Linked DNA regions of Macaca mulatta. The protein of the gene in region 1 interacts with the protein of each later gene in a pairwise test. Links are inferred from orthologs where the notes say so. Each region holds a gene or a part of one and is shown in the gene's direction. Other genes may lie near its edges.

The links. The genes of interacting proteins can lie anywhere in the genome.
Region 2: the proteins of PRKG1 (region 1) and IRAG1 interact in a two-hybrid assay, tested with the Homo sapiens proteins (2 studies listed by BioGRID). The link is inferred for Macaca mulatta from reciprocal best matches to the Homo sapiens genes PRKG1 and IRAG1.
Region 3: the proteins of PRKG1 (region 1) and ZNF646 interact in binary tests that used the Homo sapiens proteins (3 or more experiments, as listed by UniProt). The two-hybrid records come from large-scale screens. The link is inferred for Macaca mulatta from reciprocal best matches to the Homo sapiens genes PRKG1 and ZNF646.

What each region holds. Positions count from the first base shown.
Region 1 is NC_133414.1:97,475,256-97,479,302, reverse strand, and holds part of PRKG1 (cGMP-dependent protein kinase 1), read left to right. Parts: intron 1-2,067; coding exon 2,068-2,209; intron 2,210-3,433; coding exon 3,434-3,597; intron 3,598-4,047. UniProt on the Homo sapiens protein: Serine/threonine protein kinase that acts as a key mediator of the nitric oxide (NO)/cGMP signaling pathway. GMP binding activates PRKG1, which phosphorylates serines and threonines on many cellular proteins.
Region 2 is NC_133419.1:54,820,295-54,824,976, forward strand, and holds the start of IRAG1 (inositol 1,4,5-triphosphate receptor associated 1), read left to right. Parts: upstream 1-1,452; 5' UTR 1,453-1,662; coding exon 1,663-1,729; coding exon of another isoform or gene 1,730-1,803; intron 1,804-4,682.
Region 3 is NC_133425.1:29,711,106-29,715,925, forward strand, and holds the start of ZNF646 (zinc finger protein 646), read left to right. Parts: upstream 1-1,590; 5' UTR 1,591-1,949; intron 1,950-3,439; 5' UTR 3,440-3,518; coding exon 3,519-4,820. UniProt on the Homo sapiens protein: May be involved in transcriptional regulation.

The sequences.
Region 1 (4,047 bases):
ATCTTTATTAAACATAATACATTACCTGGGGGGGGGGGGGGGGTGGGGCATGCCTGTAGTCCCAGCTACTCGGGAGGCTGAGGCACCAGAATTACTTGAACCCGGGAGACAGAGGTTGCAGTGAGCCGAGATTGCACCTCTGCACTCCAGCATGGGTGACAGAGCGAGACTCCATCTCAAAAAAAAAAAAAAAAAAGAAAAAAAAAGAACAAGATCTATAGTGTGAAATAAAATAAGACCATTCCCTTTACTCTTTCATTTTGTTTTGTTTTGTTTTACTTTGCAATGCTCTCCATTGAGAAGGGATTGAATTCATAGCAGTGTATCTAAAGCTATATTTTAATTATCTGTACACAGATGCTTACACTTTAAGGTAAATAATCTCTTCAAGTGAAAGAAACATGCTTCTATTGATAGGTAAACATACTTAATTAAGGGCAAAGAAGAAAGGACCTTCAAGGCAATACTTTAATCCCTTTGCAAATACATACGATTATAGAATTTTAGCTCTGCCAAGGATATCTTCAAGTCGGAGGAAAATTGTACCATGAAGTATATCATTCATTTCCTCATACGGATGCCATTCTCAAACTTCCTCTTGTGCTCATAAATTCGCAATTGTGCCATTCAGATATTATTCAAGAAAGATTCAAGAATCATGGTAATTATAGTTAAGATTCTAGAATCTAGAGGAATGGATATCATTATGCCTAGAATTAATTATGTTTCAGAAGAATGATATTTTTCTTAGGAAAAGCTGATTATTTCAGTGAAACTCAAGTTACATTAGTAGCTGAACCAAAGACATTCTCTTTCTGGAAGATACTACCTTTTTCTGAAAGATAGCCTGAAAAGTGGTTGCTTTAGCCTTGATTCACTTATAAATTTTGTAAAAATGTGACCATATTTCATTGCCCAGTTTGTTAAACTTTACTGTACAACTTTGGGAAAAAAAAAAAAGTGTCACCAAAATGCAAATAGGCATCAGAGACTCATGAAAGCAAGCTCTGAGACTATCATTTGTTGCACACTATTAATAAAATCATTTGTGTGCTTGTCACTCATGTTACTTCTCAACCACCTCAGGAGCTGATGTTCACACTAATATTTTTAAATTATGAAATGAAATTATTAAATTGTGCTTACTACTTAGGAAAGAAAAAAAGAACATGGTTTATTTAAAAAGTACCATGGTGGGGGAAGAGTTAAAATTTAAACTTTCTGCCCTAGAAAGAAGGGTTTAACCTTAGATACTAAGGTTTTTTGTAAATTATTTCATTCAATCAATCAACATGTATGTGCCCATATATCACATATATATGAGACAGAAAGAGAGAGCCTTCTTGCTAAACATCACAATCAAGATTACTAATAAAACATTCCCTTCTAGTTACTTTTTTCTTTCTAATTGTCTTTTAGTCCATCTTTTCCTCTTAATAAGAATGCCGTCGTGTAGGAGATAGATATTGTTTGTTTTGGTTGCAGGAGTTTCAAAAACAGAAGAGTACTTAGTTTGCATTATGATTGCATCAGTAGCATTACAACTCATTTCCAGAGTGGTTCTTTGAAAACAGTAGCTTTTATTCACATTTTCATGAACAGTATGTGGATTGTTTAGAAAGATTAAAAAACAGGCCCTCTGAGAATAAATATGAATAACCCATAAACTTCTCCTTTAAAAAACAAATGCTTGGTAAGCAAGTTCTAAAATAGGATTGTTTTTTTCTCCTGCCTACTGCTATAAGTCTGTGCCTTTTTAGATTGTAGTGGGCTGTTGAGAAGAAAACACTAAGTACATGAAATATGTTGTGTGTTTAACTGCCCTTTCAGCCCTTTCAGGAAGTGAAATTTAACTATTCCATTCATAAAGACAGAGAATTCCTTAACTTAATCCTTGAATGCTTCAAAAAATCCAATGTAATGGCAATCATGTAACATTTAGCTATTAGGACAGTGGTCTCTGGGTTAAATTTTGACAAACGAATATAGTGAAATGAGAAAAAAAAATAAAGCCATATTAGAGAAACTAATTTTTCGTACAATTTTCATTCCTTTTCTGTATCTCAGAGGTTCGTTTGAAGATTCTACAACCAGATTTTACACAGCATGTGTGGTAGAAGCTTTTGCCTATCTGCATTCCAAAGGAATCATTTACAGGGACCTCAAGCCAGAAAATCTCATCCTAGATCACCGAGGTTATGCCAAACTGGTCAGTGCATTTCACACATGCTTTCTGCCCTGCAGATTTAAAATATTTGTTTATAAAACTGTGTTCATTTGCTAATATGAAATCTCAGTTTTCCTTTTCCATGTTGTAACTTTCTTAAAAGCAGGTTTTAGCATTACAATTTTCAACTGAATGTTCTTTCAAATGATGCATCAGTTATGAAAAATTAAGTTGGCTAAGTTTGAATTAACAATACTCTGGCAAAACACACTTTTATAAGCACGAGAAAACGTACTTACTGGCACGTGTACAGGCCTAGAAGTCCTTTTCTCTAGTCGGCTTTTTGCCATTCACGAGCAATGGGTTTTTATATTATGGAAAACTCTAAATCGTTTCCATATTTTAGATTTAAGAATAATGGTCACAGAAAAAAAAAAATGTGCTTTACAAGCAATGCTAGCCAGGCTATGTAATAGTAATAATAATAACAGTCAAAAGTTGTAAAGATTTACCATAGAAGAGAAGTTCTCTTATTTACAAATGCACAACTTTCGTTGGATCTGTTACAGCTTGATTCCATTTTTAAACTTTTTAGAATTGTTATTCAGCATGTGGTTTTTAAAGAAATCAAATCAGTGGCAGTTTTTTATTTGTAGTTTCAACCAAATCGTTTTAGAAAAAATAGATTTTCTGCAGTCAAGACTCTTCCTTCAAAAGAGTTCCAGAAAAATGAAGAATACATTATACTTTTATTTCTGTTTATGCTTACCAAGGGCAGAGTCACCAGTCTCATAACTATGTTACTTACTTCCTGCAACAATAAAATAACTTCAAATAATTAATACTAAATGAATTGTCAACTTCATTAAATCCAGCAGAAACCATTTATATTCTGGGAAAGATGTTAAGTAGGCCCAAGTGGTCTTTAAAAATTTTTATGTACAGAAGAGATTCTGTGTTTATACCCTAACCTCCATTAGCATAAACAAAGGAAAAATGAAAACTATATTCAGAAAGAAAGATTTACCTTTATTTTTAATGATGTGAATTTTATGCTATACTCAGATGTCAACTTTTCCAATTAAAACTGAGTTTCGTCAGGGAGACTTTGTTTGCAATACAGACTATTCCTTTGAGAAGATAGAACTATAAAAACGTGCATGTTTTTAAATTATTATGATCATCGGTGTACTTCAGCAAAACAATTTATTACTTTAAAACGTAATCATAAGAAGCTTAAGTATCTTGCTTTTCTCTCTTTGAAAGGTTGATTTTGGCTTTGCAAAGAAAATAGGATTTGGAAAGAAAACATGGACTTTTTGTGGGACTCCAGAGTATGTAGCCCCAGAGATCATCCTGAACAAAGGCCATGACATTTCAGCCGACTACTGGTCACTGGGAATCCTAATGTATGAACTCCTGACTGGCAGGTATGGATATTGATAGGGAACTGCTGATAAAAATAGACCGGCAAACAGCTACACACTCCCGCTTTTGTCACTCTGATTAAACCATCTTAAAGTACATTTCACCATATCTTGGTACCACAGTTCAATTAGTTATACGAATGACCGGGAAAAGTAACGTATAAAATAGGTCAAGCTAGGGCAACCACCTCAGCACCAACTTTTGGTCTCATTATTGCTACTTTTTTTTTTTTACATATATGAATGTGGAAGGATATAATGTCTTTCCGTGAGATATTTTAGCCCAGTCATTTAGCCAGGAATGAAACAGGGGAGATGATAATCATATGAAAATATCTAGGGTCAATTCTCTATAGAAGTAAGAGGACCTGTTAGCAACTGTTATATCTAAATGAAAGGTGACTGCTTTGTAGATCTTTCCTGTGATGTTATAATCATAAACTCAAATAGGCA
Region 2 (4,682 bases), on another chromosome or scaffold:
TAAGAATCACCCAAGGGTCTTCACTAAAATGCAGATTTCTGGGTCCATTTCAGATCCATAGAATTAGAATTTCTGAAAGAGGAGCCCAAGGAGCTTCAAAACTGGGGGTTCTAATGCACATTGAAGTTGGAGAAACAGCACTGAAGAGTTTGGTCGGTTCCTTCTATACCATATACTTGCAATTCTAGTAGTTACTGCCATGTGGCTTTGCAGGGGACGGGGGTTGTGTGGGGAGCCTGCACCTCCACGTGGACAGGTGTGGACACTTGAGAGAAAGCTTGGCTACTACCTAAGACAGCCTGCTCTGGTTTCATTTACGAAAAACAATTATTGATGAGGGTAGCAGACTTCATGCGCTACACCCCTGTTAGTGATCTCTCTTACAACAACTACACAGAAAAAACAGGACTTCCTCAGAACCACATGCCTGAGGAAGGGATGGAGGCTCAGTGGGCCAGGCTCAGTGGAGAACGTCTGCCACTGCTGCACCACTGATCTGTGGCCAGGAGCTGAGCATAAGGACTGTGTTTGCCAGGAGGGCTTGAGGCCATAGGCCTTGGAGCTCCAATCCCTAGTGCTCTCTACCATGAATACTGAATGTTTTCTAGATGGCTAATGATGGCCAAAACTAGGGTTCCGGGATTTATCAAACAAAAATAGAGGATGACTAGTTAAATTTGAATTTCAGATAAATAACAGTCTTTTAGTACAAGTATGTCCCATGTTTATCTGAAATCCAAATTTAAATGGGTGTCCTGTAATTTATCTAGCAACTTTACCTAGGGTTTCTCTGTGCCGCTCTAACCACAGAAGGGGCTGAAGTCCCCATGTAGCTTGCCGCCAGCTTGGAGTTCCATGACCCTGGTCTTGGGCGGGTCCTATACCCAAGGCAGGTGAAGAGTGTGTATGGACAGGGTGTGGATTTCCTGGGCAGGGGCAGGAAGCTCATTCGTGCTGATCTAGCTCTATGAGATGCTGGCAGTGTGTTAAACACTTGACTAATATCTCATTTAATCCCCTGACTACCCAGTGAGTTAGGCATTATCATTATTATTCCCACTTTAGAGATGAGGAGACTGAGGCTCCACGATGTTAAGACCACAGGCTGTTAAGTGGAGGAGCAGGGTTGACACCCCTGGGGCCTGTGCCAAGTCTGGTAAGTCTGGGAGTAGCTGAATCTCCCAGGCCATTCTCTCTGGCAATCCCAAGAGTTTAACGCAGTGGAAGCAGCCCCTGCCCCCAAATCCCCAGGACAGGAACCATTCCCAGTTTCTTTTGGCGCTGGCCCAGGGTCTTCTCCAGGCTCACATGCTTGCTGGAGGCTCCAGGCGGGTGGCGAGATCTGCAGGGTCCCTTTGTCCCCGTCCAGCCAGGACAGTGTCCAGTGGCATGAGTTGCCATGGGGACTGCCATCTGCTGTGTGGATACCCATCGGAAGGGCCCAGGGTGAGCGACTGCCCCAAAGGCCCAGCCTGCCCTGAACCCTGAGGCCAGCTGGTCGGCTTTCCCTGCCATTATGCCCCGAGCCAGGCCGGAGGGGGCTCCCAGAGGAGCTCTCGGCTCTAAGTCCCAGCCCCTCTCAGAGGAGGCGTGCGGCCGAGGTTCTACAGCCAGAGGCTTCTCGGCTCCGAGCTCCGGAGCCAGATGTAACATTGACCTTAAATGGTAAAAGCTCCCCAGAGTGAAGGGAGGCTGGCCAGAGGAGGAAAGGAGAATAACTCAGTTTTAGGTAAGCCTCCCCTATATCCTAGAATAACCTGCCTCTTCGGCTGGGAAGCAGAGGGAATCTTCTCCTCCTTAAAGGTACAGGGTGCTGGGATGGGGGCGCTAAACTTTAACTTTCCAGGGGAGCTGGCTTTCTTGGGTGGCATTTCAGCTGAGTATCTTTATTGTTGCTGTCTTAAGTTTTAAATCAGAAGTGAATCTTGCCAGTCCTAACTTAACTAGATTGTGCTCCTTTTGCTTGCTGTTGGAAAGTGTGCACAGCTCAGGGTGAAAATGTGGGTCGTGACAGGCGATTGCAACCCGTAGCTTTCCTGTGGGCCCGTTTGTGGCAACAATGGGGTCTTCAGCTTAGGCAAGTCTGCTAGGCAGGGCTTTCTCCCCTCTGTGCTTCCCATGTCTCTCTCTCTCTGTCCCCCTACGCCCCTCTGCCTTGAACCTGGGCGGCATGACCTGTCTAGATCCTTAACCCTGCCCCTATTTCTGTCCCTGCCCTTCCCATCCTATGTTCTGGTCACAGCCCCTGTTTTTATCTCTGTCCCTGTCTCCTCTTTTGTCTCCAGCTTCCCCTGGCCTGTGCAGTTCCCCGCTCCCTAGAGGGGGTGTATGTGCCCGGCTCATGCCTGGCCCTGCTCTCCTCCAGGGCTCCGAGTTGAAGCGATTCCTAGAGTGAGCAGCATTTGGACTGGCTTTTTCCAGAGGAAAAGCCAGTGGAAGCCAGAGGCCAGAGAGAGGCCCAGCTGTCTTGCTCCCTCCTGCCCAGGAAACAGTTGTAAAGGCTATAGAGGCTCTGCAGTTTGAGTAAACAGCAGCCCGGGGTCTGGGACCCCTGGCCAGCGCTCCAGCCTCCCAGAACTCAGCAGCTGTTGTTTCCTAACACTTTTCAGGCTGCTCGCCGGGGTGGCGCAGGGAAGTAAAGCTGGTCTGAGCAGGGTCTTTTGCAGGGAAAAGGAGGAAGCTTCCCGGGACTGTGAGGCTGGGGGGTCCAAAGGAGTCAGGACTTGCCAACGATTGTGTTGCCCCCACAGAGGGACAATGACATGCTAGTGAGGCAGGTGGAGTTGCCCATCCCCCTGCACTCCCCTACCCCAACACTTCTATGGGGGAGGGAACTCAGGTTAAGTCACTTGCCTAAGGTCATTCTACCAAGATGGAGTGGTGCTAGGACTCAAACCCAGGTCTGTATGACTCTAACTCCAGTGCCCGTGCCTCTCAACACAGCCGTGAATGCCAGGGTATGATCCTACTTCCAACTGTGTCTTGCAATTTTTGACCTAATGGAGAAAACCATTGTCATTATCATGTTTGTGCCATCAATGATTCCATTGTGTGTGTGTGTGTGTGTGTGTGTGTGTGTGTGTTTGTGCGCGCGCGCGCATGCATGTTTGGTGGGTGGCTGTTTATGTTCACAGCAGATGTACCTATCTTTATGCTTGGAGGTAAGGGAGGCATTCCTGTGTCCTTTATCATCTTGGAAGGATAACCATGTGCTAGCTGCTACGACATGATTGGTTATCCCCATAAATGTGTTTCCGCAAGAAAATAAACACATGGTTCTTACTGTGTATTGAACACTGTTCCCCTTCCCATACAGTAACTCATGACTCCCACAGCTCTACAAAGCAGGAGTCATTCTTTCCACCCTGGTTTTGTAGAGGACACTTTAGCACAGAGAGGCTGCACAGCTGGTGCTCGGCCCCAGGTTGTGGTCTCCGCAGGCTCTTGACCTCCATGGTCAGCTCCCCTCTGCTTGGGACCTCGTGTCAGAGTGCAGCGGGGGAATCACTGGCCCCCTTGCAACACGGTGCATCTGAGGCTTTCCACAAGGGACTTTGCATGCCCCTCACAGAATGCCATGAGGGGTGTGTCTTTACCTCACTGCTCCAGGTGAGGACACTGGGGCTAGGGGATGTTAAATGACTCGTCCAAGCTCACCCAGCCACCAAGTGACAAAACAGGGAATTTAAATAGTATCTTGGGTAGGGAAGTTACGGCCATGTGAAACTTACTTGAAACTGAATCCCTGGGAGGCTGAGAGGGCTCATGGTTTGGGGATGAGGAGTTCTGTGGGTCTGTGTAAGGAAGCTAGGTTCCTTGCCCGATGGGCTGAACTATACATGATGGGTCCTCAGCTTTCTAAAAAGCCCTGCGTCTCTCCTCTAAGCCTTTGTAACAGAGGTGGGCAGAAGCACCCCACACCTCCTGGAGGAGCAGACTGAGCCCTGCAAGGGCAGAGACCTTATCCTGTTCCTCACCCGCTATGTGTCTAGCACCAAGAATGATGCTGGGAGCACACAAAGTACTCAGGTTCAACCACGTTTCTGTGAACACATGGACACAATGCTCATAAAGTGGGTTCTGGTTATACAGGGCCCCAGGGTGATTTTGTACATGTGCCTGATGATCAGATTCATCTAGTTTGACTTGAGAGAATACAATGTCGGGGCCTGAAGTTACCCACCTCTCTCCCCCTGCCTCCTCTCCTGGGTCACTTCACAGAGCCTGGACTGCCCCTCAGCCACTTTCTCTGGGGCTTATTATCAGCAGAGGAATTCTGTTTGCTGACTGAGTAGATGCAGAGGCCTGGGTAGATAGGGAGAAGAGAGCTTGGGGTCCCTAGACTCTGGCCCTGCCCCTGCCCCTTGGGGAGCTGAGTCAGAAGAGGGAGATGGAGAGCTGAGTTCTCAGATAGTGATACAAAAGGAAAGAGGGGAGAAAACTGGTATTAACTGAGCTCCTACTTTGTGCCAGGATCTGTGCTAGATCTGTTATTTAATTTAAGCCTCATGTTAGAGATGAGGAGAGAAGCATACAGCCAGTAGGTGGTAGACTCCAGCTCAAGCCACCTTGGTCCGAAGTGGGTACTTCCTGCATTAGATGTCACCTTGCCTCCAGTTAGTAACTTAGGTCCTGGGGCAGTTATTGAGTGTCACAGTCCAAATCATGGGAAAATCATGAAT
Region 3 (4,820 bases), on another chromosome or scaffold:
TTTCCTGGGCTCGGGAGCCCTTGCCTGCCTTCTCCAACGGGAAAGCCCCTTTACATTCTTCAAGAACCCCCTTCCCCAGTGCCCTCAGGAATACTTAATGGCAGGAGAGAGGTAAGGGCCCCACGCCGCTCTGGGCCTCAGTTTCCTCATCACTAAAATGGGGTCCCTGAAGTTTGTGGGAGTTTGAAGGGCGGTGGGGCCTACGAAGCGCGCCGAGGAGCCGAGAGTTGCAGAAACCCGGAGCTCCTCGCTCCTCGCAACCGTCTGTACGCTGCACCCCCGCCAGCCAGGCAGTCCCTGGAGGGCAGGACCCTGGGTTGACTTGTGTCGTTTTGAGCCTCGGAAAACGTGGCCTCGGGGGACGTAGCAACCAGGACTGAACGAAGGATGCGGGGATGAACAAATGAATGGACGGAGGGCCGAATGCGGGACAAAGGCTTGCAAGATGGCGTTCTCTAGGACCGCGAGAGTGGTGGCCCGGCCTCGGCCGGGGAGGGGGCCGCCGGCGCCGGGGACCTTGCAGCGCGGGCCGCGCGGCCGGGACAAAAGCCCGCAACATGGCGGGCTCTAGGACCCCCGGGCCCGCACCGAGCCGGCACGGCAGCCGCGCGGGCCGAGCCTGGGTGTCCGTCCGCAGCCCAGAACCGCGGAGACAGTCGGCGGGTTCTAGGACCTGCTGGGCCCGCAATGCGCCCAGGGCCGCTCACCGCCCGCCCCGCCCGCGCTGCTCGCGCTGGACCAACCCAGTCCGCCCTCGGCGCCCGCAGGGAAACTGAGGCCAGCTCGGATTGCGGCCGCGTGGGGTCTGCCCGGGGCCCTCGCGGCTTCCCGCCGGCGTTTCCTACCTGATGAGACTTGGGCTGACCCAGTGCTGTCGGCGTCGGCTCCTCGCACTGACGGAGCCCGGATCCTGCCAAAGAGGGGCCGGCGCTAGGACCCAGCGGGGGGCGGGGAGGCGGGACCGGTGGCCCGGCGAGCGGAAGTGAGGGACCTTCCTCAGCTAGGAAGGAAGGGAAAGTTCCCGGGGAACCTCCAGCCTATGGCGGCAGAGAAGCATCTTGCAGGAGGTCTCTGTGGGTGCTGAGGCAAGGGAACGCAGGGCAGGCTGACAGTATACGCCGGCCTCGTGTTAGTCTGGGGCCAGGTCACCGGCAATGTCTTCAAGAACCAGAAGGTGGGAGGACAAAAAGGCCATGCTCAAGCTCTGCAGAACCTAAGTCCGCTTATATTCCACAACATTTCCTTTAATAGCAACGAGTGGATTTCACGAAGTTTTCTCCATCTTCCTTAGGAAAAGTCTTCCAGGGAGCCCCACGAAAAGTGTCACCAAAGTACTGTGGCCAGGGTTGCAGAATCTTTTTCTCTCTCTTCTGCGCCTATTCAATATGCACCGGAACGATTCTAGCTGCTCTTGCCGGAAGTGTGGCTAGCGCAGCGCTCAAAGACACCTCGTTGTGACCTCCGTGGGCGGAGTCAGTAGTGCAGGGCCAGAACCTAGCGCCGGAAGTGTGTCTGCGTAAAACGGAGGCTTGGAGGCGGGACAGGCAGGGCTCCCAAAGCGGAAGTTTCGCGGGGAAGCTTTTGTACCTAAGGACACTTCCTGTTTCCTAGTAACAATAGGAAGTGTCCGCAGAGCTGGGGGTAGACTCCTGGCTCATGCCAGCTGCGCCCTCTTTTCTCTACCTCCTTCCTTTCCCCCCCTTCTCCTTTCCCTCTTTCCCTCCCCTCCCACCTCCTGGGAACCCTGGCTGAGTGTGCGTTTGTGGGAGCGCGAGAGCCCCCCGACAGCCACCCCTTGGGGCGCGCGGCTGCAGTTAGGGTAAGGGTCCCAGTGCGCAGGCGCGCTCCCGTTCGCGGTCCCCAACTGACGCGCCCGCGGCGGGAAGGAGAGGGGGCCGCCGGTGCGAGGTAGGCGTCCTGAAAGGAAATTGGCAGAGGAGATGAGTGAGGTCAGAGGACTCATTGGTGGTTGACTAGGGGAGGGGACTTTTGATCAAAGGGGCTTTGTGAGGTGAGAATTCCGGGGGCAGGTTCAGTGAAGGCGTTTACGATGGGAGACAGTTGTATTGGGGTCCCTCCCATGGGAAGAAGAGTTGGAGAAGGACGAGAGGATATACGAGGCATGAGCGAGCAAGGGCTTTGGGATGAAGACCGCCTCAGTTAGTGGGTTTACTCTTACGTGAACTAGGATAACAGGCATTGCCGTGTGTTCTGAAGATTGAGTGACACAATGAATATAGTTAGCACAGTGCCCGGCACATGGTAATATAATACTCTTCATGAGTTGCTGTCATCATCAGTATTAAGAGAGGAGGCAGAAGAAAAAAATGAGAAGGGCTGGTGAAGGTAAGATCAGGAGGCATGGGAGAGAAAAGGTAGGTGATGAAGTGACATTACAACCTGATATTGATGTTATTCACAAGATGGAAGATAGTTTGGGTTCAAGGGAAGTAGATAAAGGAAGTCGCTAAGAGAGTCTTTTGGGGTTTTTGTTTGTTTGTTTTTTGAGATGGCGTCTCGCTCTGTCACCCAGGCTGGAGTGCCGTGGTGGGATCTCAGCTCACTGCAACCTCCACCTCACAGGTTCAAGCAGTTCTTCAGCTTCAACCTCCCGAGTAGCTAGAATTACAGGCACCTGCCACCACATCCGGCTAACTTTTGTATTTTTAGTAGAGACAGGGTTTCACCGTGTTGGCCAGGCTGGTCTTGAACTCCTGAACTCAGGTGATACGCCAGCCTCACCCTCCCAAAGTGCTGGGATTACAGGCGTGAGCCACCATGCCTGGCCCAGTTAAGAGAGTCTTAACTCTCTTAACTCTCTTGTCACAAGGAAAAGAGACCTTGTGACACTGAAAGGACTCAGGGAAGCAGGGGAACAAGCCAGCCCTTTCCCTGAAGGAGGCCTCTAACCTGTCCTCTCAGGTCCTCAGCTATTAGCTGGAGGAAACAGCTGCTTTTTCAGTGCTTCTCAGCTACTCTGTTTAGCTGAGAGATGAAGGAGGAAGGTTTGGACTTCTCTTATTGAAAGGCCTAGAAAAGGTTCTGGTGTCCTTTTAAGATGTCACAGAAAATTTTTGTTTCAGGATTGTAGGGAGCAGAGTCCTACTGTCCTTAAAGGACAGTAATGCCTTTGGAGTCTGGTCTGAAGAACATGATAACAGGTCTGTGATCAGAAGTAGGTTGCATCTCTCTCGACTTTAATTTCCTTAGCTATACCTGTAGGAATGACTTAAGCCTAGGGGAGCTCCTATATTTGGGGAGCTTGTGCACAGGGAGGCCTTAAATGATGGTGCCTGCAGATTAGATCTAGTAGAAAGCAGGTCCCTGGGCACAGATGCTTGGGGAAACTCTCAGTGACCTCAGATGAACTTGTTGCTCGTATAGCCAAGAGGCGAAGTTAATTCAGGCCTTCCTTTTGACCACTGCCCCCTCTTCCTAGGCCTCGGCCCCTCCACCAGAGGAAGGTGCTGCCACGTGTCTGCTCCTTCTGAACCTCCAGGTTTCTGCTACATTGCCCCATGGAGGACGCACCCCCCTCACTCAGCTGTTCTGACTGTCAGCGCCACTTTCCCAGCCTCCCAGAGCTGTCTCGGCACCGAGAACTGCTCCATCCATCTTCCAACAAGGACAGTGAGGAGGCTGACAGCATCCCTCGGCCCTACCGTTGTCAGCAGTGTGGGCGGGGCTACCGTCACCCCGGGAGCCTGGTCAACCATCGTCGGACCCACGAGACTGGCCTTTTCCCCTGTACCACCTGTGGAAAGGACTTCTCCAATCCCATGGCTCTCAAGAGCCACATGAGGACTCATGCTCCTGAGGGCCGCCGCAGGCACAGGCCCCCACGCCCCAAGGAAGCCACTCCACGCCTCCAGGGTGAGACGGTGTCCACTGACTCCTGGGGCCAAAGGCTTAGCTCTGGTGAAGGCTGGGAAAACCAGACAAAACATACGGAAGAGACACCTGACTGTGAATCTGTACCGGACTCCAGGGCAGCTTCGGGTACGTGGGAAGATCTGCCCACCAGACAAAGAGAAGGCTTGGCAAGCCAACCAGATTCTGAGGATGCTGCAGACGGCTGGGGACCCTCCACCAACTCTGCCAGAGCCCCTCCTCTCCCCACCCCAGCCAGCAGCCTTCTTAGCAACTTGGAACAGTATCTGGCTGAATCAGTAGTGAACTTCACAGCGGGCCAGGAGCCCACCCAGTCCCCTCCTGCCGAGGAGGAGCGGCGGTACAAATGTAGTCAGTGTGGCAAGACCTACAAGCACGCCGGGAGCCTCACTAACCACCGCCAGAGCCACACGCTGGGCATCTACCCCTGTGCCATCTGCTTCAAGGAGTTCTCTAACCTCATGGCTCTGAAGAACCACTCTCGACTGCATGCCCAGTATCGGCCTTACCACTGTCCCCACTGCCCCCGTGCCTTCCGGCTCCCCCGGGAGCTGCTGGAACACCAGCAGTCCCATGAGGGTGAAAGGCAGGAGCCACCCTGGGAGGAGAAAGGGATGCCCACCACCAATGGGCGCACAGACGAGAGCAGCCGGGACCAGCTCCCCAGTGCACAGATGCTGAATGGCTGTGCAGAGCTTAGCACCTCTGGGGAGCTGGAGGACAGTGGCCTGGAGGAATACCGGCCTTTCCGCTGTGGGGACTGTGGCCGTACTTACCGCCATGCCGGGAGCCTCATCAACCATCGAAAGAGCCACCAGACAGGTGTCTACCCCTGCTCGCTCTGTTCTAAGCAGCTGTTCAATGCGGCTGCTCTCAAAAACCATGTGCGGGCTCATCACAGGCCCAGGCAAGGAGTTGGGGAAAATGGG